4 linked regions of the Rhinolophus ferrumequinum genome follow. The protein of the gene in region 3 interacts with the protein of the main gene of each other region in a biochemical or structural test. Links are inferred from orthologs where the notes say so. Each region holds a gene or a part of one and is shown on either strand. Other genes may lie near its edges. The genes, in order: PPP2R5A, ATR, CHEK2 and PPM1D.

The links.
Region 1: the proteins of CHEK2 (region 3) and PPP2R5A form a complex in vitro, tested with the Homo sapiens proteins (2 studies listed by BioGRID and IntAct, with this or other methods). The link is inferred for Rhinolophus ferrumequinum from reciprocal best matches to the Homo sapiens genes CHEK2 and PPP2R5A.
Region 2: of the proteins of CHEK2 (region 3) and ATR, one has a biochemical effect on the other in vitro, tested with the Homo sapiens proteins (2 studies listed by BioGRID). The link is inferred for Rhinolophus ferrumequinum from reciprocal best matches to the Homo sapiens genes CHEK2 and ATR.
Region 4: of the proteins of CHEK2 (region 3) and PPM1D, one has a biochemical effect on the other in vitro, tested with the Homo sapiens proteins (2 studies listed by BioGRID, with this or other methods). The link is inferred for Rhinolophus ferrumequinum from reciprocal best matches to the Homo sapiens genes CHEK2 and PPM1D.

Annotation. Positions count from the first base shown.
Region 1 is NC_046305.1:19,977,011-19,984,885, forward strand, and holds the start of PPP2R5A (serine/threonine-protein phosphatase 2A 56 kDa regulatory subunit alpha isoform), read right to left. Parts: upstream 3,052-7,875; 5' UTR 2,316-3,051; coding exon 2,135-2,315; intron 1-2,134. UniProt on the Homo sapiens protein: The B regulatory subunit might modulate substrate selectivity and catalytic activity, and might also direct the localization of the catalytic enzyme to a particular subcellular compartment.
Region 2 is NC_046285.1:1,898,497-1,906,572, reverse strand, and holds the start of ATR (serine/threonine-protein kinase ATR), read left to right. Parts: upstream 1-4,862; 5' UTR 4,863-4,977; coding exon 4,978-5,036; intron 5,037-8,076. UniProt on the Homo sapiens protein: Serine/threonine protein kinase which activates checkpoint signaling upon genotoxic stresses such as ionizing radiation (IR), ultraviolet light (UV), or DNA replication stalling, thereby acting as a DNA damage sensor.
Region 3 is NC_046308.1:18,318,545-18,326,085, reverse strand, and holds the start of CHEK2 (serine/threonine-protein kinase Chk2), read left to right. Parts: upstream 1-4,258; 5' UTR 4,259-4,368; intron 4,369-5,205; exon of another isoform or gene 5,206-5,383; intron 5,384-6,521; 5' UTR 6,522-6,527; coding exon 6,528-6,897; intron 6,898-7,541. Other genes in the region: iron-sulfur cluster co-chaperone protein HscB, read right to left, coding at 1,008-1,055, 1,332-1,476, 2,190-2,279, 2,592-2,688, 3,807-4,042. UniProt on the Homo sapiens protein: Serine/threonine-protein kinase which is required for checkpoint-mediated cell cycle arrest, activation of DNA repair and apoptosis in response to the presence of DNA double-strand breaks.
Region 4 is NC_046304.1:24,997,874-25,005,755, forward strand, and holds the start of PPM1D (protein phosphatase 1D), read left to right. Parts: upstream 1-4,612; 5' UTR 4,613-4,838; coding exon 4,839-5,310; intron 5,311-7,882. UniProt on the Homo sapiens protein: Involved in the negative regulation of p53 expression. Required for the relief of p53-dependent checkpoint mediated cell cycle arrest.

The sequences.
Region 1 (7,875 bases), on a different chromosome or scaffold from region 3:
TTTTGAAAAAAATCACTTTTCAAGCACTTTGGAATCTGAAGTAAAAGTAGTTTTTCCTATTAGTGGGTAATCCAAGTAAGGGTCTCATTTCCCTCAATTAAGTTTGCATAAATTTATCTTGAATATATAACTTTCCTTATAAAGAAAATTATATTTTCATGCAAAATATATATATAATCTAAATTTCCACGTTTTCCTCTACTAGCGACAAAAATACTACAAATAAAACATACTGTGACCAAAATGCTGTTATATAAATAAAACATTCAATGGCACCTTCAACTTGTTGCACTATATATCATATAACTTAGATGATTACTGACACTGCGTATTTTAGCCAGGCTTTTAAAAACAAATGTATTAAAGCTGCATCTCTTGGCTTGAACCAACCATGTTTAATATTCAATTATTTGTATTAAATAAAAGTAAATATTATATTAATGACAATACTAAGGAATCACAATACCTCACTAAAAAACAAATTAAATAAATATGAAACGCTAGCACCAAACCTTTAAACTTTAAAAATAATTCAACAATTTAATGAAAAAAAATATAAAAATAACTGTGGTTGTAATTAAAAGTTAAATCCATGAATAGCAAGTCAATGTTCTAATAGGTAAGATGATATTCTTTTATGGCTATGACATCACTCAAGAATTAAAATTTTGGCAATGCCTACCATTGTGGTTTACCATTGACTACAATACGTAAATTTTAAAAATTTTTGTATGCTAAAAAGCAAATGATAAATGCAGTAACACTGGCTACACACAGCTTAACTAAAACCGTCTTTAAAAAGCCAGTTTGATTCTGGCCTGGGATGTTCTTGATTTAGAAGCACCCCCAAGAGGCAGGGCCATGCAGGGTCTGAATGGGGTTCCAGAGATATTGTAGGTCAACTGTGATTTGATCTTGGGTGTTCTTTAAACTCCTAGCCAAACTAAGGCTGAATTCATAGGCCCAAAGACAAATCAGAATGAAACTGGTTTTGAAGAGGATGAAATGGATTGAAAAATCTGCTGAACATTCATCTATTTTAGTATAAACCTTTCATTTCCTGGCCTTGCAAAACAGATGATCTAAATTTCTATTAGATTTCTTTCATCAAAAAAATTGTTTTAAATGTCTAGGAGCATTATCATCTTGTTCCATGATGATTTCAATCTCACAAAAAACGAAGACATTGAAATAAAATTAAAAGTAGTAATTCACAAAGAATAAACTAGACCACCAGGAAACAATTTTTTTAAATCCTCTAAACTTAGTGGGAAAAGTGAGTGAGCCAAAAGGAGTGCCAAGTTCTCCTTGCCAGGCATTAGGCACGGATACCCATTTGAATTACTGTACAAACCTACAAAGTCCCTGGAATCACTGCTTGGCAAACGAAGTTCCCATTCCATTGCAAACCAACACGATCTATTCCTTTATACGTCGCCAAATTTACCGTGTACACCTTCTCGGACAATAAAGTATTTTAAGTATTTCCAGTCTTCCGGGCCAAAGGATAACATTTAAACCTAACGACCCAGTTAATAAGACACTACACCGATCAGGTTTTACGTTTTTTTCTTTATAAAGAAATCCAAAGGCCAGGTAACTAACTCTAAACGTTGTTTGCATTAGGATTCCTGGTCTGTGTGACTCTTTGAAACAATCAATGGGAGGGAGTTGAGACGGTGAGTGCAGGCGCTATTGAAAAAGTAAAGGACTAGTTAAGAGTGTCCGAAGGAGGAGGTGCGTCTCCGGATAGTGAAGGTCGGAAGGAAACACAGATTGTTAAATAAAGCAAGATGGGAAAGACAAGCCTGAGAGAAGAGGGAAGAACTGTACCTCGCGGGACGCACGAGAGTTCCAATCGCGAGGGCAGGTGACTGAGCGCGCAGGTGGGGAGAGTTGTTGGCCTCCACTCAGATGGGAAGAGTTAAGGGAATCAGGGAGAAGTAAGAAAAGTAGCAAGACTCTTAGCCTCAAACCTGTTGGAATCTAAGGGGGATGGGGCGCCAAGGCGTCGTGGGGAACACGACTCGCACTACCAGCCCCAGCTGGGCAGAAGGAACCCACAAGGAAACGGCTCTGCGGGCGCGGGGCGAGCCCCTGAGCTCCCTGCCCCGGCTGCGCCCTCGGAGGTTACCTTTGAGCTGGGGCAAGGGGTGCAGCTCCGCCTGGCTGCCCTGGCTGCGGAACTGCGACGAGCCCTGGGAGCGCTTCTGCCTCTGCGCCTTGCGCACCGATTTCCGGGTGAAGCCGTCCACTTTCTCCGAGGCCGAGATGGCGGCGCTGGCAGTCCCCGCCGGCGGCGACGACGACGACATCTCCGCAGCCCTGGCGCTTGGCAGCTCCGGCTGCTGCTTGCACGGAACGGGCGGCGGCAGAAGGAGGATGCGGGGGAGAGGCGCGGAGCGCTCGCGCCCCTCCGCCCCGTCCCCCCGGCCACACCGCCCTTCTGCTCCCGGGCGCCGCCGAGCTTCTCCTCGCTGCCCGCCAACGCCTCACGGTCGCATCTCAGTACCGGAGGTTCCTGGTCCCCGCTGCGCGGCGGGCTCCCGGAGGCAAGGGCGGGGGCGGAGGGGGGTGAAGAAGTTGTTGACTCCGGGCGCCAAGGGCGGTGGAAGGGAGCCTGAAGTTTAGACAACTGAGGCGAGGGCGCAGGGGTGCGGACGTCGAGCGCGCCTCTCGTTCCTTCAGCCCAGGTTGCCAGCCAGCCGGCCGGCCAGCACCTCAGTGGCCGCTACCAGCGCAGCCCGCCCTGCATGGAGCCTCCTCCAGAGGCGCTGCCATCGCGGGTCCCCTCCGAGCCGCTGCCACCGCCACGGCGCCCGCTCTTCCCTGTCAGCGCCAGCCCCTCATCTCCCAGGGCGGTGACCCGCCGCCCGGGCTCTGGGCACGCACACACACACACACATACGCGCGCGCGCTCCTCGCAGCGCGGAGCCGTCCTAGCCCCCTCCCCCACGCGCCCTTCCGCCGCCCACGGAGAACCCCCAGCGAGCGTCCGCTACAACTTGAGAAGGTGGTGGAGACGCGCAAGGGGTGGGGGGAGTGTGTGTGCGTGCGCGCGCGCCGGGGCGTGCGACCCGGGGGAGGAGCCTTGAGTGGGGGTGGGGTGGGAGGAGATTGACAACTTCCGCGGGGTCCCGCCAGCCTCTAGGGTGCTCGGGAGGGAGTAGGGGGTGGGCAGGCATCCCAGCTCTCTCAGCCAATCACAGGGCTAAGCGGCGGGAACGCGGTGAGGCGTGGCCTCCTGGAAGGTGTCTCAAACTGGGAGGTTAGAGAGAGGAATGGGGCGTGGTTATGGACGGACTTAGGTCACAGCCAATCGTAAGTGAAAATGGCGAGCCCGGTGCCGCTTGCGTCACAACAGCGCAATGAATTTTCTTGGTAGGGGAAGTGCCCCTTTACCAGTGAGCACTTTGTCACGCCTGCGCGACAGCTTCAGGCAATAATTGCTCTTATGACAGCCTATGAGAAGACCAGAAAACTAGAGGGGTTAGTTTAGGAAGCAAACTAGAATGCCCTTCCCTCTCCTCTCTGCTGGCCAATGAGGAACTGAAGCGACTGGTGGAGAGCTTGCGGCCTGGGGCGGGAAAGAGCGCCAGGTGTTACGTCACTGAAAAGGGGCGAGCAAATGTAGGGTGGGGAACCAACAGTCAGCAATGTGATTGACGAACGAAAGAGCCTCGGGGAAGGCGAGGAAGTGGTTCGTTCAAGCGGAGCGAGGTACTGGACTCCTGCGCAGGCCTTTGAGTCTCGCTGCCCCTAATCCTAATTGGTAGTTGCAGAGTAAATTGGTAGTTCTGGAGTGGCTCAGGCACCGCAATTCCCGAGAACTGTTCTCGCGCCAGGTTTGGGCAACTCTAACATTTACTTCAAAGATTTCTCCAAATCTGCACCCTCCAAGAAGAGGTTCTCATTTCAATTTAGTGTCCCATTAATTTTTATCCCTTCTTCAGCCAAAGGCCTTCAACTACTTCAACAGAACGAGTACAAATTTGTTCATCAGTGGTTTGGGGTTGGGGAGTTGCCATTTACTCTTACTGGGATCTCTTGGAGATTCCGTCTATATTTTAAACTTATTAAAGACAAAGACTGGTCATCCAGTCTTTTGTGCAGTGTTTTCCGTAGAATGATGCTTAGTAAAAATATTTGAGCTGATGCGTTATATGAGAAGTAACACAAAAGGGAACCAAATATTCTCTCTATCCTATTATAAGGTCCAAAGTACAGAAAGTACTAAACAAAATTCAGAAATTGATTTGTCATTTACATAAAAATGGTTAAATACTTGGAGAGTAGGGTATAAAAAATTCTTAAGCTTAATTTAAGCCTAGAAAAATAAAATAAGTGAGCTGAACAGTTTTGTCTCCCTTTATCTTGGCAGTTTTGCGCTGATAGACCCAAATCTCCATTCCTCTCTGGAGAGCTCCAACTTTTTCCTTTCGACATCATTGAAATAGCTGCCCATGGATTTAAGCAAAACTACCTGATGCATATGTCAGAAAATTCCAACTTTGGGTAGGAAGTTGGATTCTAGATCTAGAAGCAAACTTAGTCCCTTAAAATAGTTCCTTCCTCAGATTCACTGAGTGATGAAATTGTACACCGTCCTCCCAGTCAAGGAGCTTGGAACCTCAGCAGCATGTTTGACACTTCTCTTTCTCATTCTGTCAAGTTCCAGACCATGTTGAATTACCTTCACAAACGTGCAGACCAGTGCTTCCTCATAATTTGCACAACCGACCACCAAACATAGTTTGTTTCAGGGCTTGCAACCTCAGGGCCAGTTCAGTTTTTAAAAGTGCCACTTTTCGTCTTTCCAAAGAAGACATAGAGATGGCCAACAGGCACATTAAAAGATGTTCAACATCACTGATTATTAGGGAAAATGGAAATCAAAACCCACAATGAGATGTCACCTCATACCGGTTAGAATGGCTATCATCAAAAAGATAAGAAACAAGTGCTAGAGAGGATGCCAAAGAAAAGGGAACCCTTGTGCCCTGCGGTGGGAATGTAAATTAGTACAGTCACTGTGGAAAACAGTATATTATTCCTCAAAAATTAAGAGGGAACTACCATATGATCCAGGTATTCCACTTCGGGTTATTCATCTGAAGAATTATGAAAACACTAATTTGAAAAGATACATGCACACCTACATTCATTGCAGCTTTACAATAGCCAAGTTACGGAGACAACCTAAATGTCCATGTCCATTGAGGGATGAACAGATACAGAAGATACACACACACACACACACACACACACACACACACACACACACACCCCTACACCCTCAAATGGGACACTACTCAGCTATAAAAGGTGAAATCCTGCCATTTGTGACAACACGGATAGAACTTGAGGGTATTATGCCAAGTGAAAACACATCAGGCAGAAAAAGACAAATATGGATGATTTCACTCATATGTGGAATATAAAAACAAAACAAACCAAAAAATAAAAAGACGAACTCAGAGGCAGACAACAGATTGGTGGATACCAAAGGGTAAACGGGGTTAAAGGAAGAGTGAAATGGGTTAAAAGGGAATGGATGGGAAACTAGGACTTTATGGTTATCATTGAATCACTTTTCCTTAGCTGTGAGGTCTTTTGCCCCATCTCAGTGAGTTGTAATCATAAATGCCTGATAACCCCTGGCATATCCAATCCTCTTGTCCTTGCAGAGTGGGTCTAAAAAGCCTGATGTTGGCAAACTCTCCACACTTAATTCAACCCTGCAAGCATTTTTTTCAAGTGCCTTCTCTGTGCCAGGCAATATGCCAGACACTAGGAATGAAAAGGTAAATAAAGCATGGACTTAAAATTTAGTGAGAGGGACAATATAAACAAAGGATCAAAGACTATATCATAAGTGTGCCTTATGGTGTGTGCAACAGTGGAAAGAAGATCAAATTTGGTTTGAATGAAGAGGCAGAAAAATTTAACAGAAAAAGTAATGCTTGAAGTGAGGTCTTGAAACAAAACAAGTTTTCATACGGATAAAAACAGAAGAAAAAAAATACTTCTCATTCAAGAAATTAGCTTACCCACATTTCTTCATCCCTGAAAAATATTTCCATATCTCTGGCAATGAATTTATTTTATACGATATGTTACCAAAAGTTTTTTCCCATTGCAATAGAAGAATATATTACACTATACCTTGTGTCAGAATTTGACCTGGAGGTGGATGGACAATATAAAAAATGGACATTAAATTCAATATATGACTCCCTTCTGGTATATTCTGAGGAACAGTGATTGCAAAACTACCATATGGGTTCTTAATGTTCCTTTCATATGCAGATTTTATATAAATCTATAAGTGGTGTTTCTCTTTCATCCTCCTGGAGGAAGCATCTAATAGGTTTGAGGGCAGTCCCTGTCTTAATACAAAGCTGCTGCATGACAGCAATGTGTCCTCTCTCTCTCTCTCTCTCTCTCTCTCTCTCTCTCTCTCTCTCTCTCTCCTCTCTCATCACATTTATTGAAGGTTGGAGAAAAATTAAAATGCCATTTAGCTTAAGAATTTGTAAGTCATCTGCAAATCAAACTCATTTGGAGTGGAAGAATCCTTGGTCATTTCTTAGTATCAAAATTTACGCAGGTTTTTTTCAATATCTTCTACATTTAAAGAGGCAATCAGTCTCCTATTTTCCATACAGGATAAATTCTTTGTTTCAGCCAACTCTCAATGGAGAGGCAACTAGTACAACATCATCTCCCTGGACAAAGAGCATAGAAATATTCCGTTTTGTTGATTTATATGTTTCTTCATCAATTTATATAGTAGTCACAGTTTCTTCCACATCTCCCAGTATCATATTTAAATGCTGACCATAAGCATATAATCTACCTGGAAGCTCTCTGTCATTTCTCATTTTCACATAAATTCGCTCATCCAAGCTGAGCCTGATGAGATCCAGGGGCTCTTTATGGTGTCGGTAGTTTGTTGCTGGTCCATATCGTCCACCACATTTCAATGTGTTCTCTCTCATTGGCTTGCTATTTTAGCTCAAGCTTGTAGAAATAATTAATTTGAGAATCCAATAAATCAACCTTATATCTTCAGTGTCAGTGTGGTCTCTATGGCTTGAAAAAGCAGTATTAGTGGTACTATAGGACTTTCAGGAATTATTGAACTGGAAATTTCCAATGTTTTCAGATCCTAGCCTTTACTTTCAATACCAAAGAATATAGCTTTTTAAAAAATGTGTGTGTCTGTGGGTGTATATAAATACAATCACCACCATAAATTAACTCCTACTATGTACTAGGCGCCATTCATATAAAGCATCTGGCAGAAAGAGATCAAATGAGATCTTCTCTTAAAGTGTCTCTCAAGTGACACTCCTTTCGATTCCCCTGGGAGCTTGATTCTGGTAACTCTTGTCATGTTCTGGAGCTATTTATTTATTTATTTGTATTCTAGCCTCTCTGGGGTCCTCTATTCTTCTCTTGCAAAAATTAGTGGAGATTCAAACTCTATTTATCATTTCTATACAAAGGCATTCACACAAAATGAAACTGAATAGATTGTACTGTCAAGACCATACCATTTGCTTTAGCACTTTACAAATTTTGTGTATGTGGAACTATGAAGTACTGACACCTAGAAGGAAAATGTGATTATCACAAGATTTAATGGTGCTTGATGTTTCTTATTCATTCCTTCAAAAATATTCATTAACCTCCTACAATGTGCCTGGTCTATTCTAGTTGCTTGGAAAATAGACATGAATGAGACAAAGTGTGCCTGCACGGAGATCACCATCAGTGGGGAAGCTTACAACAATTAAAGTTGTACTATGCAAACAAAAGAGGGAACATGCAACAGAGAAAAATTACTGTTGCACACACAGATATCCACAG
Region 2 (8,076 bases), on a different chromosome or scaffold from region 3:
GCTTTAAGTTTCAGAATGTTGCCCTGTGGTTGTATTTGTCTCTTATGAGTCTTTATCCAATTGAAACGAACAAAAGATGTGTGCTTTTTTTTACCCATTAATCTGTCTGACAATATTCAATACATAGTCAAGTTACTAAGGCAGGGGAATGGCATAATAATCATATTTGGGTTTTGAAAAGGTCCTGTCTGCTGTATAGAACAATTCCAAAGAACATCAGCATTGCCTAGGAGCAAACTTTTTAAAATTATTAAAAATGCAAAAAAAATAAGTAATAATACTTTTAAAAATTGTTAAAATTATTAAAAATTATTTAAAATGCAAATCATTGAGTGTACCAACGAGGTGTATATTGAAGTCCATTCAAGTCTGGAAATGAACTTGTATGTAATATTGTATTTTTTATCTCATTTTTTAAAGCTATTTTAGTGTATACTTTATGATATTAATTATATAGTAAACTTTTGAAAGAATACCACAAATGGAGTAAGAAAAATCCAGTGCATTATGAAGGAAATTACACAATTAGGCAGCCAAGAGTTTGGGCATCTGAGAACCAGGTGATCTCATTTGAGTTGTAGTGCCACCTCGTGGTCATTCCAACCCTAGTTTAATTAACAGTGGGGACAATTCTATATACAGGCTATATGAAACTTCCAGGAGGACATAGGTTTATGCCCATTTGTCGATTTGATATGGGACACCTCAGTCTCTCTGCTTCCTGCCTCACTCTCCCCCCACACTTCAATCCCTTCCCCCCAAAAGATGAAACGGGGAGGTGAGAGGAAAACAGGAACAAATCAACAGTTGTGTTATGTCCAAATTTACATTATCATGACTTTTATGTTATTAGAATATAGTACTAAATATATGTGGTTAATAAATAAATATGCACATATTAGGGTACATATTTTTAAGATTTCAATATTGTTGAACAATCAAAAAAGTTAGGGGGCTGCCAGATAGCTCAGTTGGTCAGAGCATGAGCTCTGACCAACAGGGTTGCTGGTTCTAGTCCCACATGGGCCAGTGAGCTGCTCCCTCCACAACTAGATTGAAGACAATGAGCTGCCGCTGAGCTTCCGGAGGGGCGGCCGCATGGCTCAGTTGGTTAGAGCGCGAGCTCTCAACGACAGGGTTGCTTGTTCAATTCCAGCATGGGGTGGTGGGCTGCACCCCCTGCAACTAAAGATTGAAAACAGTGACTGGGCTTGGAGCTGAGCTGCACCGTCCGCAACTAGATTGAAGGACAACGACTTGGAGCTGATGGGACCTGGAGAAACACACTGTTCCCCAATAAAAGTTAAAAAAAAAAAAAAGTTGTGAGACTCCCAGTGTAGAGAATGGATTGGAGGGAAAACAAGCCTAAAGGAAGAAAGGCAAGCTAAAACACTACTGAAGTAATTTAGGCAAGAGACAGTGATGGTCTGAAACCAGAAAGATAGTAATGAGATTTGGAGGGAAGTGGATCGGTTTGATATTTAGAAGATAGAATTGAGTCCTTATCTTTAAGAGATACAAACTGAAATAAGTACAGATAAATTGATATGATGTCTGGGATTTTCTTTAAAACAATCCAATTAGGGAGAGGGGAAATGGGGGGGGTTATAGATGAAACAAACACTGGCCATGTGCTGATAACTGCTGAAGTTGGGTGATGGGCATAAGGGGATTCTTTATTCTATTTTCTCTTACTTTTGTGTATATTTGAAACTTTTCATAATAAAAAGTTAAACAAAATTAAAGTGCCTGGGAATAATTCAAGGGCAAAAATTCAATATGAAGGTAGACGTATGAAATATAAAGCTCAGAGAGAAATCTCAGCAAAGAATTTGGGAGTGGTCAGCAGGCAGAAAGTTAACTGAAGCCTTAAGAGTGAACGTGGTCACCTAGGAATAAAAAGAGAAAGGAAGCTAAGTTAGAACCCTGAGGAATACCAACAGTGAATGGGATGGCAAAGGAAGTGTTGCTAATAAGAGAGTAAGTCATGGAGGCCAAAAGAAGAAAGTGTTACAAGAAGCAGGCATTAGTCTATGTTGTCAAATGCTGCTGGGAGGTCAGGAAAAGAAGAGCTGATCAACAGTTTTTTTGGATTCAGCCATATGAAAACCATTGGTGCAACTGGTGAAATTGGTGAGAGGCATTTAAGAGGGCGCGGGCAGGACAAAGAGCATTGTATGTAGGATTGAGACTGAGTGGGAGATGAGGAAATAGAATCAGCTGTATGAAAAACTCAAAAAGTTTGGTGGAGTTGAGAAATATATAGGTACCTGGAGAAAGGATGTCTGCCTGGAATGACATCAACTGCTCCTTTATTGATATATTGCTAACAAGTTTTATTTCTTTAAATGACCTACTACCCCCCTTTTATTCTGTCCTGTACCCTCCTGCTAGATTTGAGTGTAGCTTTGACTGGGTCACTCTTTATATAAGATCTCCCAGTGCCTCTCCATCGCTTACTGAGGTCTTTATCAGTGTCTCAGGCTACTTTTCCTTGACATCAGCCAAAATGAATCACTCATCTCTCCTTCAGTATGCGTTTTGTTCAGATATTTGCCTCTAGCTAGAATATATGCCTCTTCTCCAATCTTTGTCTCTTAAAATCTTGCTCATCTTTCACATCTGGTCTAGCATATGGTGCCACATTCTCCTTGAGCCCTTTCCTGATATACCTCTTCTCCACTGGAGTAGATACGGTCTCTCCCTCCTCTATTTTTCCAATGCATGCTATTTATATCTCCTTATGGCATCCATCGGATTTTGCTTTGCATTTATTTTTCTGGGTTATTACATCGTTTTTACATCCACAGATTGTACATACTTGAAACTGACTTTATTTTCCTCATCTTTATGTCGCAGAAGTACCTAACACAGTATCTTGCACAAAATAACTTTTTGAATTAAATTGGATTCCCAAAGCTCTACTGTTTCTAATGCTTGGGGGTTTACACTGCCTTTTAGAATTACAATGCTATTCAGCTACTGCCTTCCATGTAACGTTGTAATTTTTATAATCTTTCTTCATATGATCCAAAAATAATACCCAACATTTGTTACTTGTTAGTTATAAACTGTTTTTCATATGGGTTATCTCATTTAATCTTTAAAAAGTATATGTATTTCTTTATACATTTTGAGATACAAATAGTTATATAACCTCCATCTAAATATAACAAATGTTTAATTTGTCATGATTAATCAGAACCTATTAAAAGAAAACCCTCAGAGATATGCTGAAGCCTTGTAATTTCATTTCCTTTTTACATTCTCCAGAGGTACAACTCTCCTGGAGTTGATGTATATCCCTCCCAACCATGTTTTTAATCTTTCATCATCTATGTATTTATACTTAACTCACACAAAGTGTTATTTTGTGGTTTAAAAATGGTATGTAAGTGATATAATATTATTATGTATTCCTTTGCGATTGCTTTTATCTCTTGACATCATTTTCGGGATTTATCTTTGTTAGCATGTGTTGCACACTTCATTTTGACTAAGAAATGGTATTCCAGTGAATGACTCTACCACCCCTTACTTAATCTTTACCTTAGTTTTGTGAGGTAGCTATTATTAATCTCATTTTATAGATGAAAAACTGAAGTACAGACAGGTTAAGTAACTTTAGGTAACACAGGTTCTAAAAGATGTAATGAGAACTTGTGCACAGCCTCTTAACTCCTGACACCATCTTCTTTCCACTTTATCATTCAACTATTTAACAAATATTCACAGAATACCAAGTATGTGCCAGGCCCTGTGTTAGGTCCTGGGCATCTAAGCAGTGAATAAAACAGACAGGATTCTGGTCTCAAGGAGCCCACGTTCTAATTGGAGGAGATAGTCAATAAAATAGTATGTAATGTATCGTTTGGTTTTAAGCGTTCTGAAGAAAACTAAAACAGGATGGAGGGGGAAAGAGTGTGAGTTTAAGTGTGTAGTCTATATGATGCTCTCTGGTGACGGTTCAGCAAATACTTGAGGGGTGATGAGAGAAGTGTGGTCCAGGTCAAGGCTAAGGGTACAGCAAATGCAAAATCCCTGAAGCAGGAACATATACGGCTGTCATTCCATCACTTTGATTTTTTAAAAAATACTGTATCAACCATTATCCTTAAGTGCTCAACAACAAATGAAAGCACACTGCATGGCTTTGCCTGATTAAACACCTAATTTTGACATGTTAAGTCTCTTATGATGGCCACCTTTCGAATAAACAAATTAGGTCGAGCCAGAAAATGTCTACAACCAGAATCCACTGATTTAAACATTAAGTCATATGTAGTAGATGCCCATAACAGTGACACACACAGTACTGCTGCTGCTTTGATGAGACACATATAAATACAATTCAGCCCCCTTTTTAAATACGAAAGGTTTAAAGGAAACCTAAGAAGACTTGAAGTTTAAAAAACCTGCTGAAACAGAAAGGAGAGAGAGAAGCCCACCTCTTGCACCGTATTTCTCAGAAAGGATGTCAAGAGTGGTAGGAAAAAGAGGACCTGAGGTCGTTACGCCGTGGGGAGACTTGGGGAGAGCTAGCCTTTACTCGCTGAAGTGCCTCAGTTTTCACATCTGCGATACGAGGCAGTCTGGCCTGGTGCCCTTCAGGCCCCTCTGCTCCTTAGATCCGGCGGTTTTACTTTGCTGAGCCTCCCAGGATAGGAGTAAGAACATGGCCGCTAAGCCCCGAAACTCTCCGCGAGTCTCGCACGGGGCCTTCCGGGCTCAGCGAGAACCCGCCGGGGGCGACTGGGCAGGCGCGGGCCCCGCCTTTTTGTCCCGCCCATTTTGGGCCTCCGGACCTCCCCCAGCCACTGCGCAGAACAGGAAGAAGGCCTAGCGCGCGGGGCAACCGCGGCTTCCGGGAGGAGTTTTGGGCGCCGTGAGGACCCGTCGGGCGCCGCGCGTTTCCAAAACTGTGGAGACGCCGGGAGCCCGCCTCTGCGGCGCCGACGAGCGCAGCGCATTCTCAGCATGGGTGAACATGGTTTGGAGCTGGCGTCTATGATTCCCGCCCTGCGAGAGCTGGGCAGGTAGGGCCAGGCCCGGCCGTCGTGGGCCCCGCGGCCTCCTCCGCTGAGTCCGGCTGGCGTCTCACGTGCTCTCCCCGACCGCACGCGCCCCGGCTTGGATCCCCTGAATCCCGGCCGCGGCTCTTTTGTGGTGGGCTCCGGGCCTGACCAGCGCTTCTCCCTCAGAGGGGCGGTTAGGGCGTCGCTGCAGACCTGAGGGAACAGTCCGAGAGGGAAACGTCTGCCGGCTCCGCTTTACCTCAGCGGTGCCCGGGAGCTCGTCCCCACTGGGTGTTCTCTGCAGCTGGAGGGAAGGGCCACTTCTCGTCACTTTCTTGCACTTATTTGCTTCTCGAAAACCTCTTGCCGTACATGGGAGACTTGACCCATGGACTTTCCCCCCTTTCAATTTATGATCGGTCGTGGACGAATTGGGTTTTTAGCTCCACGTTTTGATCCAGAACAGCTCATGGCAGAAAAATCACTAGTTCTGGTTTTGTGCAAGGAAGGCCAGTTATTAGAAAAGGCAGTTTCTATCTTCGAAGTGAAACCGTAGGCCACTCTGAAGATAGGACCTCTTGCAATCTTCAATCCGTTATTTAGTCAGAAATCCCAGGGATAGGCCACAACGTTCACAAAATATAAATATGCACAGAATGTTGCCAAAACATGAAGATAATATTGTTTTATTTGCAAAAGCTTGTTTTCTGAAAACTCGGGAGTAAAATCATGTAAACCAGTATCCTACCTATGAGAAGGGACAGATGTTGATGGGTGCCTCCTCCCTTCAACACATACGCAACCTTCCCACAACCAGGTCTAAAGACTAGAAGGCAGTGTTTATGTGTGTTTCCTTTTTTAAAAATTGTAACCCACTGCAGACAAGAAGTAAGTGGGCTTGTATACCACTACTGCAGTTGAACTGTCAGAATAATTACCTCCCAATTTCTTAAACTGTTTGACAATTTAGCACACAAAGTCAAAACTAACATTAAGCCCACCAGATATTTAATTTCCTTTTCTTTTTTGCTGTGCAATTGTGTTCATCTCCACTTGTTGGCCATACAAGGATGTTAGTCTTCCTTCATTACATAAATAAGAGGATAAATGAAGGGACCATATTTGTCTTAATCCTATTTTTGTGTGTGTTAATTGTTTTCACTTTGCATTAGGTGCAAACATTTTGTATTAATATTTTGTAAAGTAACATCTACTTTTCTAAAAAGCTGAATACAGGTGCTCATTTCAGGAAGTTGATGTACAGATTTCATCTTTCAGGCTCAGTATGCTTCCCCTATCTTGCTTTAATGGAGAATTAGCTTATTAATACTTTTCTTCCCTCTTTGCTCTTCCTCTATGAGACTTGTTAATAAAAATAGTATCTTAGATTTATTTATAGTCTCTTACATCAACAGAGCTTACTCCTATGTTATCTTTCATTTCATTCATTTGTAATTCTGAGAATGAGTTGAAAAACTGACCCACACAGAATTGTATAATGATAGTTTTTAATTGTCATGACTTTTTCATTGCACTTGCTTCATTCAAGCTTATTCAGTCTTACAGTATCTCTATGATATAGAACATGACAAATATCACTATTAAGAAACTGAGTCACAGAGGTTGAAGAAGCAAAGGCAAAGAGACAGCAGTTATCAGAGCTGTGTTTCAGATGAAGACATCAAGGCATTTTCTCCCATATTTGTTTTTCTTTAATTGTGGCAATTAGATTTGTGAGAAAAAAATGAGATGTCACAGTTCTAATGTGTGGGCTCCCGCTACCTCTATCTCTCAGGGATAAATTTTGTTCCACTTTTTTTTGTCGTTAGCATTCTTTACTTAGCATAGTCTTTCTGGGTGATCTCATTTACTCTCCTGCCTTCAGTTACTGTCTGCTATTTGATGACTCCAGATGTGTTTCACCAAATCGTATTTGTCTCCAATAGAAGTATATGTACTGGATAACAGCAGTTTTACCTGCGTTTCCCATATGCAGTTAAGACTTAACATATCCAATGCAAATTCTCTGCATATTCCAACCTGCTCAAGATTTTTTTTTTAAATTCCTCTCATTCACTGAGGTAGGGATATTTCAGTAAATGATGCCACGTTCACTCATTTTTCCAAACCAGAAATCTGGGAATCATTCCTGGCTCCCTGTGTTTTTGGCTATGTCCTTGGTTCTCTTTTCATCTTCACTCTCTTCCTAAGTTGCTTTATCTAGTCCCATGACTTTACATATTATCTATATGCTGATAACTCCCAAACTTTCTCTAGCGCAGAGATATAAATTAGGTTGCTTACTCAACATCTACACCCAGAAATGAAAATTAACATATCCAAAGCAGACCTTATAATTTACTGTCCTTTAACCTGTTCCTTTTCCAGGTTATTATAAATGTACCAACCAAAAGCCAGGGAGTTTTCCTTGATTTTTTTCCCCTTATCCCTTAATAATCCACCAGCAAGTCCTGTCACGACTGCCTTTGAAATACACTTCTCACCATCTCCACAGCTACCATCACAATTTCTTATCTAGACTATTACAGTAACCTCTCAGTTTATCTCCATTTCCGTTTTTACTCATTTACAATGGATTTCCCACTCAGCACTCAAAGTGACTTTTATAACTACAAATCATACTGTAGATTATATAGCATTACTTCCCTGCTTAAAATCTTCCTTTGGCTTTCTAGCACACTTAGAATAAAATCCAAACTCCTTACCAAGGCCTCTAAATTCCTGCATAATCTGCTCACTGTAGTCCAATAATATTGGTCTATTTTTCGTATACACCAAGGTCCTTCCTGCCTTCAGTCCTTTGCGCTCTTCTCTCTGAACACTGGTTGGTTCCATTAAGATGTCATTTCAGAGGAGCCTTTTCTGACCTTCCTTTTTAGAATTACTTTGTAATCACAAGATATTTTCAGATAGTGACAGTTGTTATTAAAATATTAAACGGGGAGGAAGATAAAGGGTCTGTGGAGCAGCAATAGTCGCCACTAGAGGAGATTTGGATGGTAAGAAGAAGCCAGTCATGTGAAAATGGGAGAAGTGTCTT
Region 3 (7,541 bases):
CCTAGCTGACTGTACTGGAATGGACATCTGGCTATGAAGCTGGGCCAATCAAATTCCCTCTCTCAGAAATCTAGAGTTGGGTCTAGGGGACTCTAGTCAGATGGTGAGAGGCCTTGTTCTTATAAGGTAATAGACCATGGAGGAGTAAAGAGTCATCCAGTGGGAGAGGCCACTTTGGGGTACCATATACTAAAAAGGAAGCAGACAGAAGTGGTTTTAGAAAGGACAGGATGGAGTGACTGCCAGGGGCACTGAGTCCAGGACCAAAGTCTTGGCTCCAGACTGCTGTCTGGTTTCCAGGTTCTCTCCCAGAAAAGCTCTTGTCACACTGTCCTATAATCATTACAGGGACTTTCTCTTTGGATTCTGGGAGGTAGCCCTGTTTCCTTACAATCACCTCCCTTTATCTAGTCTAGCTCAAGTGGCTTTCTGCTTCCTGCAATCAAATGAATCCTAAGCCAAAGGGCCATTACTCTCTTAGTTAAGCGGTGGCCACCAGTCAGGAATGGAGAGAAAAGTTGTTCTTGCGGAAAAACAGCTGGAAATAGAAATAGTCTCTTCAACCTGAGAGCCAGGAGCAGTGGGGACAAGGATAAATATTCCATAGTTGTAATTTGGGCACAGTTCTGTCATGGCCTTCTCCTTCCGGGTTTTGCAGAAAAAGGGGTGTGCGGGCTTTGCCAAATGTTGACTGTGCAGCCTTGCCCTCAGGATCTACTGGTTGGCTTCAGCCCCCATCCCTCACCTTATCTTCTACTTGTTAAAGTGAAATGAAAGCACTTTCCCTCATATACTCCTTCACTGGCATGTCATTGTTTTTGGCACACAGGTTGTTTTTGCAGCAAGATTGTGAATTCTTGAAGACAAAAATGTAGACTCATCTATATTTAATACCTCCCCAGGTACCTATCATGAGTATATAATAGCTACTTGTTGAATGCATGGCTGTACCTCAGTGCTTACAATTTCTTTCCATATTTAAGAAAGTCAAGAAATGAAGAAAGTACCTTGTTCAAAAGCTCTGCTTACGCTGTCAGTCAATTCTTTCTGTTTAGCTGAAAGAGAAAACCATTATTGTAATTTTTCTATTTAAATTGACTCATGATATGAAGTCAGCACTTCTTGGTTTATGGCTACATTCCAGAGAGGTAGGGATGTTACAAGTCTCACCTCCAGATAAAATTGGTTTCGGTATAATCAAAAGGGGAAAAAAAAAACCTCCCTGAATCTTTATGAGGCGAATATATATTCTTTATATTTATTTTTCACTTAACGCTGGACATGCACTCTTAACAGCAATAAAATGCATTTGGTGGTATTTTATCTTTTACCTCTGACAATAGATTCAATCTCTTTCATGGCAGCTTCATTTTGAGCTTCTGCAAGTTTTTCATTAATATCCATTATTTCCATGAGAAATTCCCTGTCCATTTCACAATCTGTTCCTTGAGGAATCTCTACACCATGGAGCTTTAGCTATTTGGGCATAAAGTAGGGAAAATAAGTTTGCTTCAAGAGACTACGACCAGAGTCAATCCTACTCACCCTTCTGAACAGAATACCACTCATAGGGAAAACCTGAACTGTCCTAACAATGAAAGTGTCAGGGTAGGATGTTGGAACATCGGACTGAGAAATGAATGCTTCAACAGGATTCCTTTCTGCTACTTAGAACTGTGTGACCCATGGGGAGTCATTTCTCCACTTGAGAGCTTGAAGTAGATATTTGGGAAGATTCTATTAAATCCTAAAATTCTAAGGTGTTCACCTCACCCTCCAAAAAAAAAAAAAATGTCCAAAACTACTCTTTCCTAAAAGTCATCACCATCCAATCCTTGAATTTATCGAAAAATGGTTTTTAAAAAATGCAATTGGGCAAGTAACATTTACAGAGGATATTCAGAGAAAACTATACTCATGTAGCACCCCCTTTTTTTTTTTTTTAAGGAGGGCGCAGCTCAAAGTGGCCCATGTGGGGATCGAACCGGCAACCTTGGTGTTATCAGCATCACACTCTAACCAACTGAGCTAACCAACCACCCCCATCATGTAGTATCTTTGAGGCTAAATGTAGTTGGGTCCCTGGACTAGATCAGGTCTCAAGCACTCCTCTGCTGAATACAGGGCAGCAGCTGTACCATAGTGGACAGCAGGCAGTCATGCACAGAAGGGTTGGGAAATCACCTTACAAGGTATACTCCCCTGGTCAGGGGGGCCAGAAGGGTCTTATAGGCGTCATTCACCAGGGTTGAATGCTTCTCTGAGAAATCCTTTTCAATCTGTTAGTGGATATGGAGATAGTCTTATTACCATCCAAATCAGCCATCTGATATTCACAAGCTGTTTCATAAAATACTGATGGGCAGGCACTTAAGGAAGTGGCCAAAATAGAACCAGTGTGGGATAAGATTTATTTATTTTCAACTGATGGATTCTAATTTTGCAGGACAGGTCCAGGGCCTGCCTGGCTGGCGTCTGGTTGCCACAGGATAGAGCTGGCTATCCCTGATAATCACACAACCGCAAGACCACCGCCACCCACCCAGAATGCATATGTGTGTGGGTATGATTAGGGGTGGCCAATAGGCTACCTGAGACCTCTGGCTGAAGAAATCCGGGTGCACAAGACGCTGTAATTGCTGGTACCTATGCTGGAGCTTCACAGTGTCAACTCTGAAGGAACGGTTGCTGGAAGAAAATAGGGAGATAACATTCATGCATCAAGTATTTATAGATTTGTATACTATGGGTCTTGTTCCTGTTCCCATGGGGAAATATACAATAAACATGCAGACAGATAATTTCCAAAAATGGTAGGTGCTGTGAAGAAAAACGGAAAGGGGTCTGCGAGAGTGGTAAATGTGGTGGACAAAGAGATGGCATTTGAGCTGCAAGATGAATGATGATGAAGAGTAATCAAATGTCAGAGGAAATGTGCTAAGGTCCTGAGGTGGGAACGAGTTTCCCACCCTTGAGGAACTTAAAAGGGTAGTGTTACTGCAGCCCTTCGTAAGTGCACAGTGATTGGTGGGGTCAGATCTCAGAGTTAAGGGGAAGGGGGATTCCCAATCCCTCCCTATCTTTCCGAGGCCTGGGTTCCTTCATCTCCGCCTCCCACTTTATTTTAACCTAATCCCTTTTGCTTTCTATTCCCAGAGCCTGCCCCATTTTACAAGTTTAGCTCCGCCCAAACTTTACCACTTCCCCGAAGCTCCTCAACCTTGAGAGAAAAACAAGAAAAACACCTATTCCTCAGATCTTCTCCCTCCAATTCTCACTTTTCCCTTAGGCTCTGTCCACAGTATTAAGTTTTTCCATGCTTTTACTCCCTTATTTTGGATAACACGTCAGTACTCCTTTCTTAAAAGTCTCAACCCAACTTTTATGGTTCTGATCCTAACCCTCAAGTTTCCCTTCTCCAAGGGCCCTTCAAGGACCCTTCCTTCAGACCCCACCTCTCAACTTCGCCTTCTCTCAGGGCCCGCCCCTCAAGTTTCCCTCTACCTTAGTAGTCTCCGTCCCTCAATTTCCTCTAACTTCATTTCCCACCCCTCCAGTCCTCCCTCCACCCTGTCTCCATCCCTCAAAGCCGTTCCTTCAGGCCCGCCCCACAATTTCCTCTTTCTCAGGACCATCCTCCATTCTCCCAGGCCCGACACCCACCTAGACACTGGTCTCCAAGGCTCCGCCCACCTATCTAACTGGCCCCTCCTTCTGCTTCCCAAACCTGATCGGCCCTTCCCTCTCGCACCTCTATCCCTGACTTCTCTCTCGCTCCGGGGCGTTTCCCGAAGCCGTTTCCGTACCAGTCCATAAGGCTGAAGTGGTCCCGAGTGGAGTCAGGCGGCTGCAGCGCACGGCACTGCGGGCAGAAGAACCCGTCCCCACCAATGGGGCCCCTTGGGCCGCCGCAGTTCCAACACTGGGGGCAGTTGCTTCCCGCTAGTGACGCAGCATTACAGCTTATTGGTCTCCTTCCGAGGACCCCAGTCGGCCACAACCCCCACACCCGGAGCAACGCTCGGGTTCTCCCGCTCCACATTTGGCTCGCGGCCTAGTTTCGCCGCGGTCACCTGTAGGGGGATAAGGGGACAAATGGCCCACCAGACTAGTGTTGCTGATTGGCTGGAGGACTGAGGGGGCGGGATCACCCGAGGGAAACCTGGATTCTGAGTCCCGCTCTGAATTTTAAACTACAACTCCCATCAAGCAGTGAGGCTATCGTGGACGGCTACATCCGCTGCTCCTCATTGGTCCGGCAGAAGCGGAGGAATGTTTTGATTGGCTGAGGGTGGACTTTGTATCTGTTTAGCGCCAGTTCGCTAGTGGTGGTAGCTGTGAGTCTGTGGCTCCAGGTGGGCGCACGAGGTGAGTTATAGTGGGGATCTTCTGTCTGGTGTGTGGGAGTTCGAATCCCGCTCTCAGGGAATTAAGGCGAACTAAATCTCTCGAGCTTCCGCTTTGAGCTCTGTTTGAGCTTCGGCGGGGGTGGGGTGGGGTGAGAGGAATGCGTGGACGACTCTCTTCCTTCGTAGATGAACTTCCAGTTACTTCCTCACTTACAAGCTGTAACTGGCCCAGACATACAGGATAAGAAGGAACAAAGTTGTGCTCTTCAAAATGAGAGCAAAGTTGCTTTGTGAAGAGTTCTAGAAATGTCAGTAATTATTGCCATACTTTAGATTCAATCTTGAAAATAACGTATTGAGAACCCATTTTTAGCGGATAGGCACTGCAGGAATTGGAAATATACTTACTTGTGTAGGAGGATGCTATGCAAGTGTCCATAAGTAAGTGTGTGGAATGGGATGGCTAGGAGAGGGTAGGGGTACCAGTCCTCCTTGGGATTCGGTTTCTCTATTAGAAAATAAAAGATTGTGTTGCACTTGTAAGGTCTTTCCGGCTGTTGGATTCTTGGGGATTGGAATTCTGTTGTCCCAATTATCAAGGATAGTCGAGGAGGAGAGTTCATGTATCATCTCGTTTAATCGGAAAGATCTATCTACTTTATTCAGATAAGGTTTCAAGAGGTTGATTTACCTAAAGGTCATGCAAAGATTTTTTAGGCATCTGACTCCAGACCTATTTGCCTCTAACCACTCCACTGTACTTTCTCTACACTGAGGCCAGTGTGATCCCAGCCTGGTAGACCCTTATTTATCATAAGCGATGATAGTTACCTCTTGACACACTGTCTTTTGCCAGTTTTCAGGGCGGAGAAGTCTTGCTCAAAAAAAACTGCAGAAGGACACACTCAGCCTGGCTGAGGTAGTATTAGAGCTGCTGGAGTGGCAGACTCATCTCTGGCATCACCTTCCTGGGGTGCTTTAAGGAAAACTCATCAGGACCTTTGTATCTGGAAAGCTGTGTAAATGCAGTCAGTGTGAGTAATCCTTACTATGTTCTGTAGGAGTGGCCTGAGTGTGGGGATCGGGAGAGAATGTACCTTTAAAAAAAATCAGATTGGGGATTTAAAAGTTAGGGTTTGAAAGTTACTTCGACTTTACTGTGGGTTCTGTTATCAGAGTTTGACTGTCCATCAAGTTAATCCTAAAGCAAGGGTGGGAACCTCTGTTTTGGTGTCCTGTAGCTCAAAGAATGGTTTCTGTAAGATTCTGCAGGGCTGGGAGGCCTTTTCGGATGCTGAAAAGGTGAGTGGATAGTTACTTAGCATCACAAAGGTGGAGATAGAGTTGTTTAGAGCAGTCTTTGTCTTCTGCCTGCCTCCTTAAGTGGCCCAGCCCTTAGGTGTCAAGGAATCAATTTCCTGGAGCTAGTTTAGGGGAGGGGCATCAGTGACCTTTTTATGTAAATGTCCTCCCTGGAGTGGTGCGGCGAACAACAGTTTCCCTTTGCCCATCTTTTTCCCCAAGCCACTAGACCCTTCCCCTTTCTCTTTCCAAAACATATATTAAATTTAATGTTGATTGTATTAATGAATCCAGTCTAGGTTTCACTTCTGATATTTAAAAATCGGGGGAATGGGAGCGGCTGGTTGGCTCAGTTGGTTAGAGTGTGGTGCTCTTAACAAGGTCGCCGTTTGGATTCCCACATGGGTCAGTGAGCTGCGCCCTCCACAGTTAGATTGAAAACAACGACTTGACTTGGAGCTGATGGGTCCTGGTATAAAACACTGCTCCCCAGTCGTCCTTGATTAAAAAAACAAAAACAAAACAAAACAAAAGGGTGAATGTAAGCCATTACAAATCTCTTTCTTCTCCCTGAATCTCTTTCCTCTCCCTAACTCAGTTTATTGCTTTTCACTTATTTATAGCCTTTGAAGATTTTTTTCCCCCTGTGGTTTTTGACTGTCACACAAAAAACTGATCCAGTGAAAATAATCTGTTGAAACTCAGCCCAGAAGAACTATAGGTCTAGACTGTTAAAATTTTAAGTTTTGCAGAGCATGCTTGCCCTGGGTTTTTTTTTTTTTTATTATTGCCATCATAATATTCCCATCCTTCATTCTTGAACTTTAAGTCTTGTTTCTTGAAACTTATTGTTGGACATTTGTTTTTGAGGTCGCGATGTCTCGGGAGACGGATGAGGAGTGTCAGCAGTCCCACGGCAGTGCCGGCACGCAGTCTCCTGGCAGCAGTGCCTGCTCGCAGTCCCAAGGCGGCTTCTCGCAGTCCCATGACCTCTCCTCGCAATCCCATGACCTCTCCTCACCGACCCAAGGCTCCGGCTCACAGTCTCAGAACACGTCCAGCTCCTCCACCAGCACAGTACCCACGTCCAGCCAGTCCTCTCACTCCAGCTCGGGGACACTGAGCTCCTTAGACACGGTGTCCACTCAGGAACTGTATTCTATTCCTGAGGACCAGGAACCTGAGGAGCCCGTCCCTGCTCCTTGGGCTCGATTATGGGCCCTGCAGGATGGATTCTCCAATTTTGGTAAGAACCCTTTGTTACATTAATATGTGTGATATTAATATTGTGTTCAGAAAAGCAATTACAGACATTTGTTGCAGCAAAAAGCTCAAGACTGCCAGTGTGGGGCCTGTGCAAGTTGATCCAGGACTATGGGCACCTGTGCCAAGTCTTGAACTTGTGCCAGGACCTGTCGTCTTCCCTGCACTAAGACAGCTCCTCCCCACCTGATGCTGGCCTGATGTTGGGTGGAATGTTGAGACTATCCTATTTAACTTGCAAAATAATCCTATGAGAGAGCATTGTTATTTTTACCACCATTTTACAGAAGAGCAAACTGAGGCTTAGAGAGAAATTCATTGACTTGTCTACAATCTTACAGTCAGGAGTTGGGAGAGGCAGGATTTGAACCTATGACTTTCAGACTTTAAACTTGTGTTCTTGACCTGTCATTGTGAAAGTGAGTAGGACAAGAAAGGTAATGAAATTAGTTAGCAGCCAAAGGGGACTGGAACCCAAGGGAGGCTTGTTACTGTATGAAATGAGTGTGAGAGAATCTGGTAGAGAGATTCAAAATGCTTGAGTGGGAAGAAAATAAAGGTGACAGTGTGGTTGGGGGCGTGAGGGCAGGCTGAGGGTGCTGTAGTCAGAGATACGGGTTCAAGTCC
Region 4 (7,882 bases), on a different chromosome or scaffold from region 3:
GGTTAGGAAGTAAATCCCTTAATATTTAAACTGAGATCTGAATAGCAAGAAGACTCCACCCTCGTAAAGCTGCTGGAGGTAGGGGGGAGCAGTCTAAGGAGAGGTTAATAGCTAAGGCAAAAAGCTTTAAACCTTCTAAGAGCTTGGCCTGTTCAAGGAACAGAAAGGCCCCTAGGCCTGGAGGGAGTGGGGAATGGGGAAACTGTTACGAAATGATGTTAGACAAACATTTAGGGACCAAACAGGTCTTGTAGGGCTTCATAAAGAGTTTGCATACTATTTTAAATGGGATGGGAACTCATACAGTGTATTGAGTAGGGGAATGACTTGATCTGATTTATGTTTTTTTTAAAACTAGTTTCAGGTATATAAAACAATGTAGTCATTAGACATTTATATACCTCACAAAGTAATAACCCCAATAAATCTATTAGCCATCTGAAACTGTACATAGTTAGAATATTATTGACTATATTCGCTATGTTGTATTATATATCCCTGTGACTTTTAAAAAAATTATAGTTGACATTCAATATTATATTAGTTTCAGGTGTACAGTGTAGTGGTTAGATATTTATGAAATTTATATATTTATATTTATATAATTTATATTTATATAATATTTATATAAATATTTATAAATATATATAAATATATATATATATTTATTTATATATATATTTATATATATGTAAATATATATAAATATATATATATTTATTTATATATATATTTATATATATTTATAAAATATTTATATAATTTACGAAATGATCTCCCCGATAAGTCTAATACCCATCTGACACTATACATAGTTTTTACAATATTATTGACTATATTTCCCATACTGTACTGTACATCCCCATGACGCTTTTGTAACTACCAATTTGTACTTCTTAATTCTTTCACCTTTCTTACTGAGCCCCTTGATTTATTGATTTGAAAGAGCGTGATAGTAGTTAGTAGAAAAGGATTGCAGAGGGTCAAATGTGAAAGAAAGATTTATGAGGAGACTATGGTAGTGGTTCACATGAGAGGTAATAGTGGCTTGGACTGGGATGGTAGTGGCGGAGGTAGTGAGAAGTGGTGGGTGCAGTATTGATTTTGAAGAGTTAGTTAAAAGGATTTGCTGATGAATCAGAAGGATTGGAAATAGGAAGGAGAGTGGAGGAAAGAGGAATAAAAAAAACTTTTATGTTTTGTGGCTTGAACAAAAATGGTGATGCTTACTGATACGGGTAAGACTGAGGGAGAAGGCGATATGGAGAAGAAATTTAGAGTTTGTTTTGGCCATGTTAAGATGAAATGCCCATTAGACATTTATGTGGAACTGTCAAGCGTGCAGTTGCATATAGAGTCTGGGATTCAGGGTAAAGTTTAAGACTGGAGATATAAATTTGGGAGCCATCCCCAGACAGTTTTTAGAGCTATGGTCCTGAATGGTGTTACCTAGAGAGAGAGTGTAGGTAAAGGAAAGAGCCCATAACAAAGCCCTGCGTACTCCGAACAATCTAAAGTCTAGCAGGGGAGAAATCAGCAAAGGAAAATGAGAAGAGGTGGTCAGTCAACGAGGTAGGAATAAAACCATTATAGTGTGGCCTCTTATAAACCAAGAGAAGCGTTTCAATAGGGAAACAATAGTTCCACTTTCTGCTTCAGTTGGGACGAAAGTTATTAAGAACAGAGAAATCATCATTCGCTTTGGAAATAGAGAGGTCTGGTTATGTCATAAAAACAGTTTTAGTGGAGGGTCGCTCTATTGCAGGGGTGTCCAAACTTTTTTCAACGTTTTTTACCAAGGGCCAATACACAAACAGCTGGGCCACTCACTTGAGGTGAAGTACATATTGCTTCACCTGGTTTATTTAAGTAAACTAAATATATTTTTGGAATTTGCTGCGGGCCAACAAAAAATGGATTGTGGGCCGCAGTTGGCCCGCAGGCCGCAGTTTGGACACCCCTGCTCTATTGGTTGAGTTAAGGAGAAATTATGAGTTAGGAATTGGAAGTAGAATCTAGATAGATACAACTCTTTCCAAAGTTTTTCCTGTGAAGGAAGGGCAGAGAAGTAGGGCAGTATATGGGGGGTTAAGGTAGGTTTTTATTGTTGTTAAAATAGACACCATAATATGTCCGTCCGTACACAGATGGAAATGACCCAGTAGGAAAGGAGAAATTGGTGAGATAGGAACAAGAAAAGATAACTGGTGGAGCAAATCTTCTGAGAAGGAGAGAGGTGAAAGGATCTAGAACAGAAATGGAGGGAGTGCCTTGAATAGTGCAGGGCCACTTCACCATGAAGAGGAGGATGAAAACCGGAGAAGTCAGGGTCTTGGTTGGAAAATGTGGATAACATTTTAAAAAATAAAGTGGCTAAGAACCATAATGATTTCACTGATATGTGGTATGTAAAACTGAAAACAACAAAGGAACAAGACAAACAATGAATAAAAACTCATAGACACAGACAATAGTTTAGTGGTTACCAGAGGTTGGGGGGCAGGGGAGTGGTAGATATATGGTGATGGAAGGAGAACTGACTCTGGGTGGTGAACACACAATATGATATATAGATGATGTATTGCAGAACTGCGCACCTGAAACCTATGTAACTTTACTAACAATTGTCACCCCAATAAACATTGCTGAAAAGTGACAAGAATAGTGGAAGAAATGAAGATGGTGAAACATGAACAAATGAAGGGGGCATTAAGTTACCAGGGATCATCAGTAGGTGACAACCTCTTGCTGTAGTAGCAGTTGGCATTAATTTTAAAAGAGCTTGGGTTTTTGAAGGAGGAAGAGAAATGATTTGGAGGAAACATGAGGAGCAGGTTGGAGGATAAGACTACCTGTGAGAGGAAAAATGATCTCTTGTACTTGAAAAGTTGCAAGGGAGGTAGTTTTGCTAGTTGATAAGCCAGTTTTAGTTGGAACAGGAAGTTGATGGGAACATTGAAGAGGTGAAGAATAAAGGAAATGGCTGATAACAGATGTTGAAATCTAAAGTGCAGGATGAAGTGGTTGGATGGTTGGGATAATGAATCAGATTAATAGAATTTGAGGGTGGCATGGAGATGCTAATCAGGGTAATGACAGATGACCTGGAGGCTGCTGGTTGTGATTAAGGATTATAATGATGGAATTACAACCTCTAGAGGAGGAGGAAAGGTGGGTAAATTGTTTAAGAATAATATAGAGCTACACAAACTGTTCTTTTTTGCAGGCCTTGTGGTATGGAGGTTACTGGATTAAAATTGCTAATATTTCATTTAGTGTTTTTGCATTTGTAGTTATAAAACATGATCTATAGATTTCCTTCTAGTGTTATAATTGTTAGGTTTTGATAATAGGGTTATGAACATGTTTCAAAATGAGCTGGGATTTTTTTCCCCCCAAGTATTTTTACACTCTGGAAACATCTGGTCTAGTGGGGATATATTTGACTACGTTTTTTAATTAATCAATCTATTCAGATTTTCCACATTTTGAGCTGATTTTGCTTATGTTTTTATTAGTATAAGGATTTTTTTTGTTTGTATTATGTCAATTGTTTGTATGAACATTTTCCCCGTTCCCATTTCTGTATTAGTATCAGTCCATTGGAAAATCCTGAAGTCTGTGCATTAAAGGGCACATAGGTGAGTTGATGGTGAAGTGGTCAAAATCTGAAAAAGTGAACTTTAAATTGATTAACTACAGGAACGTTTGCTGCTGAGAACATACTAACCTGCCCACTCTGAGGCTTATTTTAATTCCGTGGAAATCCGTGCATAGTTTTTAGCTTATATTGTAACCTACTGGGCGCAAAGTGGGAGACTATAACCAAACTGTTAGACACTGGAGCGCTTGGCAGTTTTTGTTATTTTCAAGTGGTAACTTGAAGTGATACTACCAAAGATATAAAAAAAAATAAGTCCTGTACGCAGGGCTTACTGGAAAAAGTACTACGTTTAACAAAAGCTGAAAAGATATGTTAACAATTAGTTAAAATATAACCTTTTAAATCTCCGACATACCTAGTCATGTGAAACGAAACTGTATACCTGATGGTAGCAATTTCCCAAGTTTTCTTAACCACACAAATTGGATTGTCTCCCTTCTCAACTCCCAGTGGGATGCATCTAACCCAAACCCAGTTCTAGAGTGCGGCCCTTTTTCCAGCCTGTTCACAAACGACCTTCCGAAGTAACGTTTCCCGCCATTTCGCTCCAAGGAATGGAAGGTCTTTCCCCCTCGATTCGTGGAGGCCCGAACCTACACGGCTTTCCCCGAAAGACGAGCAGGAACGCCAAGGCCAGTAAGCAGCATCACGGTCCTCGGGACTGAGTAAAAAGGTGACAGACCAAGTTGCCCGATAAGTGCTCAGTACCCGCCGATAACCCGGAGGGCGGAAACACCCACCGCAAAAGGGAAGCGACCCGCGGAGTGCGCGCGCCGGGTGCCCGCGCTGGGCCGAGGGAACACTGGCAGTTGCTGGGAGGAGCGAGGGCTGGGGGCGGAGGGCGGGTTCTCCCCAACTCGACTCCAGATTGGCCAGGCCCAGAGAACAGAGTGACGACAGCTGGGGAGAACGTCTGATTTGTGTGATGGGCGCGGGCAGGCGGGGGAAGAGCATTGCGCAGGCGCATCTGCTCGGCTTCTCTTGCCCTAGCGCTCTGGCCCAGCTCTCGCGGACAAGTCCCGACAACGCGCGCACGCCAACCTCCGGGACCGCCCCCTCCCCCTTCTCGGCGTCGTCGAAGATAAACAATAGTTGGCCAGCGAGGGTCGGGTGTCTCTCCCGCCGCTGGATTCGGCGGGCTGCGTGGGACCGGCGGGATCCCGGCCAGCCGGCTATGGCGGGGCTGTACTCGCTGGGAGTGAGCGTCTTCTCCGACCAGGGCGGGAGGAAGTACATGGAGGACGTTACTCAAATCGTGGTGGAACCGGAGCCGACGGCTGAAGAAAAGCCCTCGCCGCGGCGGTCTCTCTCTCAGCGGTCGCCTCTGCAGCGGTCACCGCCGGCTCTTCCTGCTTGCGAAGTCTCGGGGAAAGGCCCAGCGGTGGCAGCCCGAGAAGCTCGCGACCCTCCCGCGGACGCCGGGGCCTCGCCGGCTCCCGGCTGCTGCTGCCGCCGCCGTTCCTCTGTGGCATTTTTCGCTGTGTGCGATGGGCACGGCGGGCGGGAGGCGGCACAGTTTGCCCGGGAGCACTTGTGGGGTTTCATCAAGAAGCAGAAGGGATTCACCTCATCCGAGCCGGCGAAGGTTTGCGCTGCCATTCGCAAGGGCTTCCTCGCCTGTCACCTCGCCATGTGGAAGAAACTGGGTAAGTTCCCTGGCTTGGTTGGCTCCCGCGTCTTTTTCAGGCAGTTGAGGGCTTTTATAGTACCAGCACCGCGTGGGCCGCGGCACCGAGAAGCTCTATCAAAGTGGACGTTGATAGAAATGAAGACTCCTCTCGGTCTAATAGCACTTTCCAGGGTGGAGGTCCGGGCAAAGAAAGTGGTCTTGGGAAAGGTAGGATTGCTGTCTCTCTACAACCCATCCTTGCTTTATTTCCACCCTTCAAGGATCAATGGGAAGCCGTCCTCTCCGCTGTTTCAGTTTGGTGGCAGTTGGGGGAAAAAATGTTTGAAACCTGGCGCCAGATTTTGGCCAAAGGTGAATTGAAAACACGTTGCTACCAGGGCCACGCGAAGGAAGCGAGAGATGGCAAATATTAGAGTGTTCCCTTAGAATCTGTCATAATTTTGCTCTTGAAAGACTTGTCCCTGTCGGTTGCCTCCTACCAGTGGTGTCAGTTCTCCAAATTGATCCCAGATGGCTGGTAGTTGGAGTAAACTGTAGGCTAATTTAGGAAGGCTAAAATGTAATCATCAGCGACTTAAAAAGCCTTGGAAGGAATTCGGTTGTGGTGATCATAAAATGTTTTTAGGGTCTTTATGTTTGTGCTGATTATGAAAAAAAGCGCGGAATGCGTTACTTCTTAAACTGGCCCCACGTTAGGACTGTGTGTTACATTCTGCCAGGGCTTTTTAAAAGTACAGTACACGTTTTTGGAGGTAGTTGGCTTTAGTTATTTGCTGTCAGATAGTTCTCAACAGTTCCTAGTTAAAAGTACCTGTAAGTTGTAACTCCCTGTCAAAGTAGCCAGAGGTAAGGGGGAGTTACTGACATGCTAAAAGGAAATAGAGAGCTTAATGTCTAAAAATTCGGTGTCGTTGTAGTTTCACCTAAACTTTAAATGTTTTCTAAAGCAATGTTTCTGTACCCAACACATGTTACCATACAGAGTTATAGTTGCTTATCCATTGCTGTGAATGAATGGCATAAATCTTTTTTAGAGAAAAGATTAAATTCTGTCATTAAAGAAATCTTGTTTACGATAGCATAATGTTGCTTTATTTTCAGCAGAAGGACAGAGACATAGAGAAGAGTGTAAATATTGGTCAAATACAGAACATTTTTTAAAAGGTATTGTCATAGAATTGTAGACTAGCTTCTTTCAAAGTCTGTTTTCTATTTGCCTGGCTTTCTGCCAAGAATTACTTGATTGACTCATAGAGTAACCAGTACGCCTTTTGGAGGCGTATTCCATCCAATCCCAGAGGCCCCTATTATGGATTTGTTTTGTTTTTGTGTAGGCAGAGCAGAGCTGAAAGCACTGCAGTATATTCCAGAAATATGTCATTTCATTGCCTGCAGTGCAACTAGGAATGGACAGCAAGACAAGATAGAGGAAGATTAGACACAAAGAACTCTTTAGTCCCATTTATTTTGCAGTGCACTTGGAGCAACATGACTCTGCCATATGTTTGAAAAAGAACAAAGTCTGAGCCCTGTTTCTTGAGCATTTTTTCGTAAAGCAGGGACCATACTGTTAAATGTGAATGTGTATATTTTTTGATGTACACATACTTTTTCAATCAAGTTTTCACTCCTGTGAGGTATGGTTTAGAGCCTTATATACCAGACAAATATTAAAGTTTGCTGTGTTCCGCAGCTAAACCTTGTATCCCATCCTCAAAACTTGAATTAAAAAAGAGTATGCTGAGTGTATGGAAGTCTGGACACAGGAGATGCAAGTTTTTAAAAAAATTGTACTTCAGTTCTAAATTTATGGATGGTTCCTCATTTTCTGTAGAATAAACTATAGTTTATAATCTAGAGGCCAGTCCCTTCCCAGTCCACCTTCTGACTCCCTGTTCAATTTTGTTATCCACATTTCAGTCACATTAATTTACTCATCTTTTTCCTAGGGCACATTGAAATAGTCCATATTCTTAAATTCCCTCCCCCACACACAAAAAAACAAAACTGAAAAATATACTCCTCAGTCTCTAAGTCTATGTTTTCTTCTGTGAAGAGTTCTTTCTTTTGGAATTAAACATCCTTTGTTTCTACTTTTGAAGTACTCATTGGGTTACAGCAGTAGTTCTCAAAGTTTTTGTTCACTGAACCCTTTGTACTCTTAAATGATTGAGGACTCCAAAGAGCTTTTATGTGGGCTACATCTATCACATTTACTACTAATATATGAGAAATTAAAACAAATTAAAAAATATTTATTAATCTATCAAAAATAAACATGTTAACATTTTTAAATGTAAAACCACTTTTTCCCCAAAATAAATATTGAAATAAGTATTCTTATATCTGCTTCTGCATTGAGTCTGTTGAGCTGTCTTGTCTTGAAGTATATGAAGCAAAGGAGGCCTCACACACGTATGCAGTCGGAAAAGGAGGAATAGTTTGTCTTTTCAGATAATGGTGAATATTCTATACCAAAGTGGTGGTTTCTTAAGGTTAGTCAAAATGGAATCTGAAACCTTATGAATGAACTTTTTGTCATTTTACACTAAAATCCATTGGTCTCTCTTGCACTTTGAATGAATCTT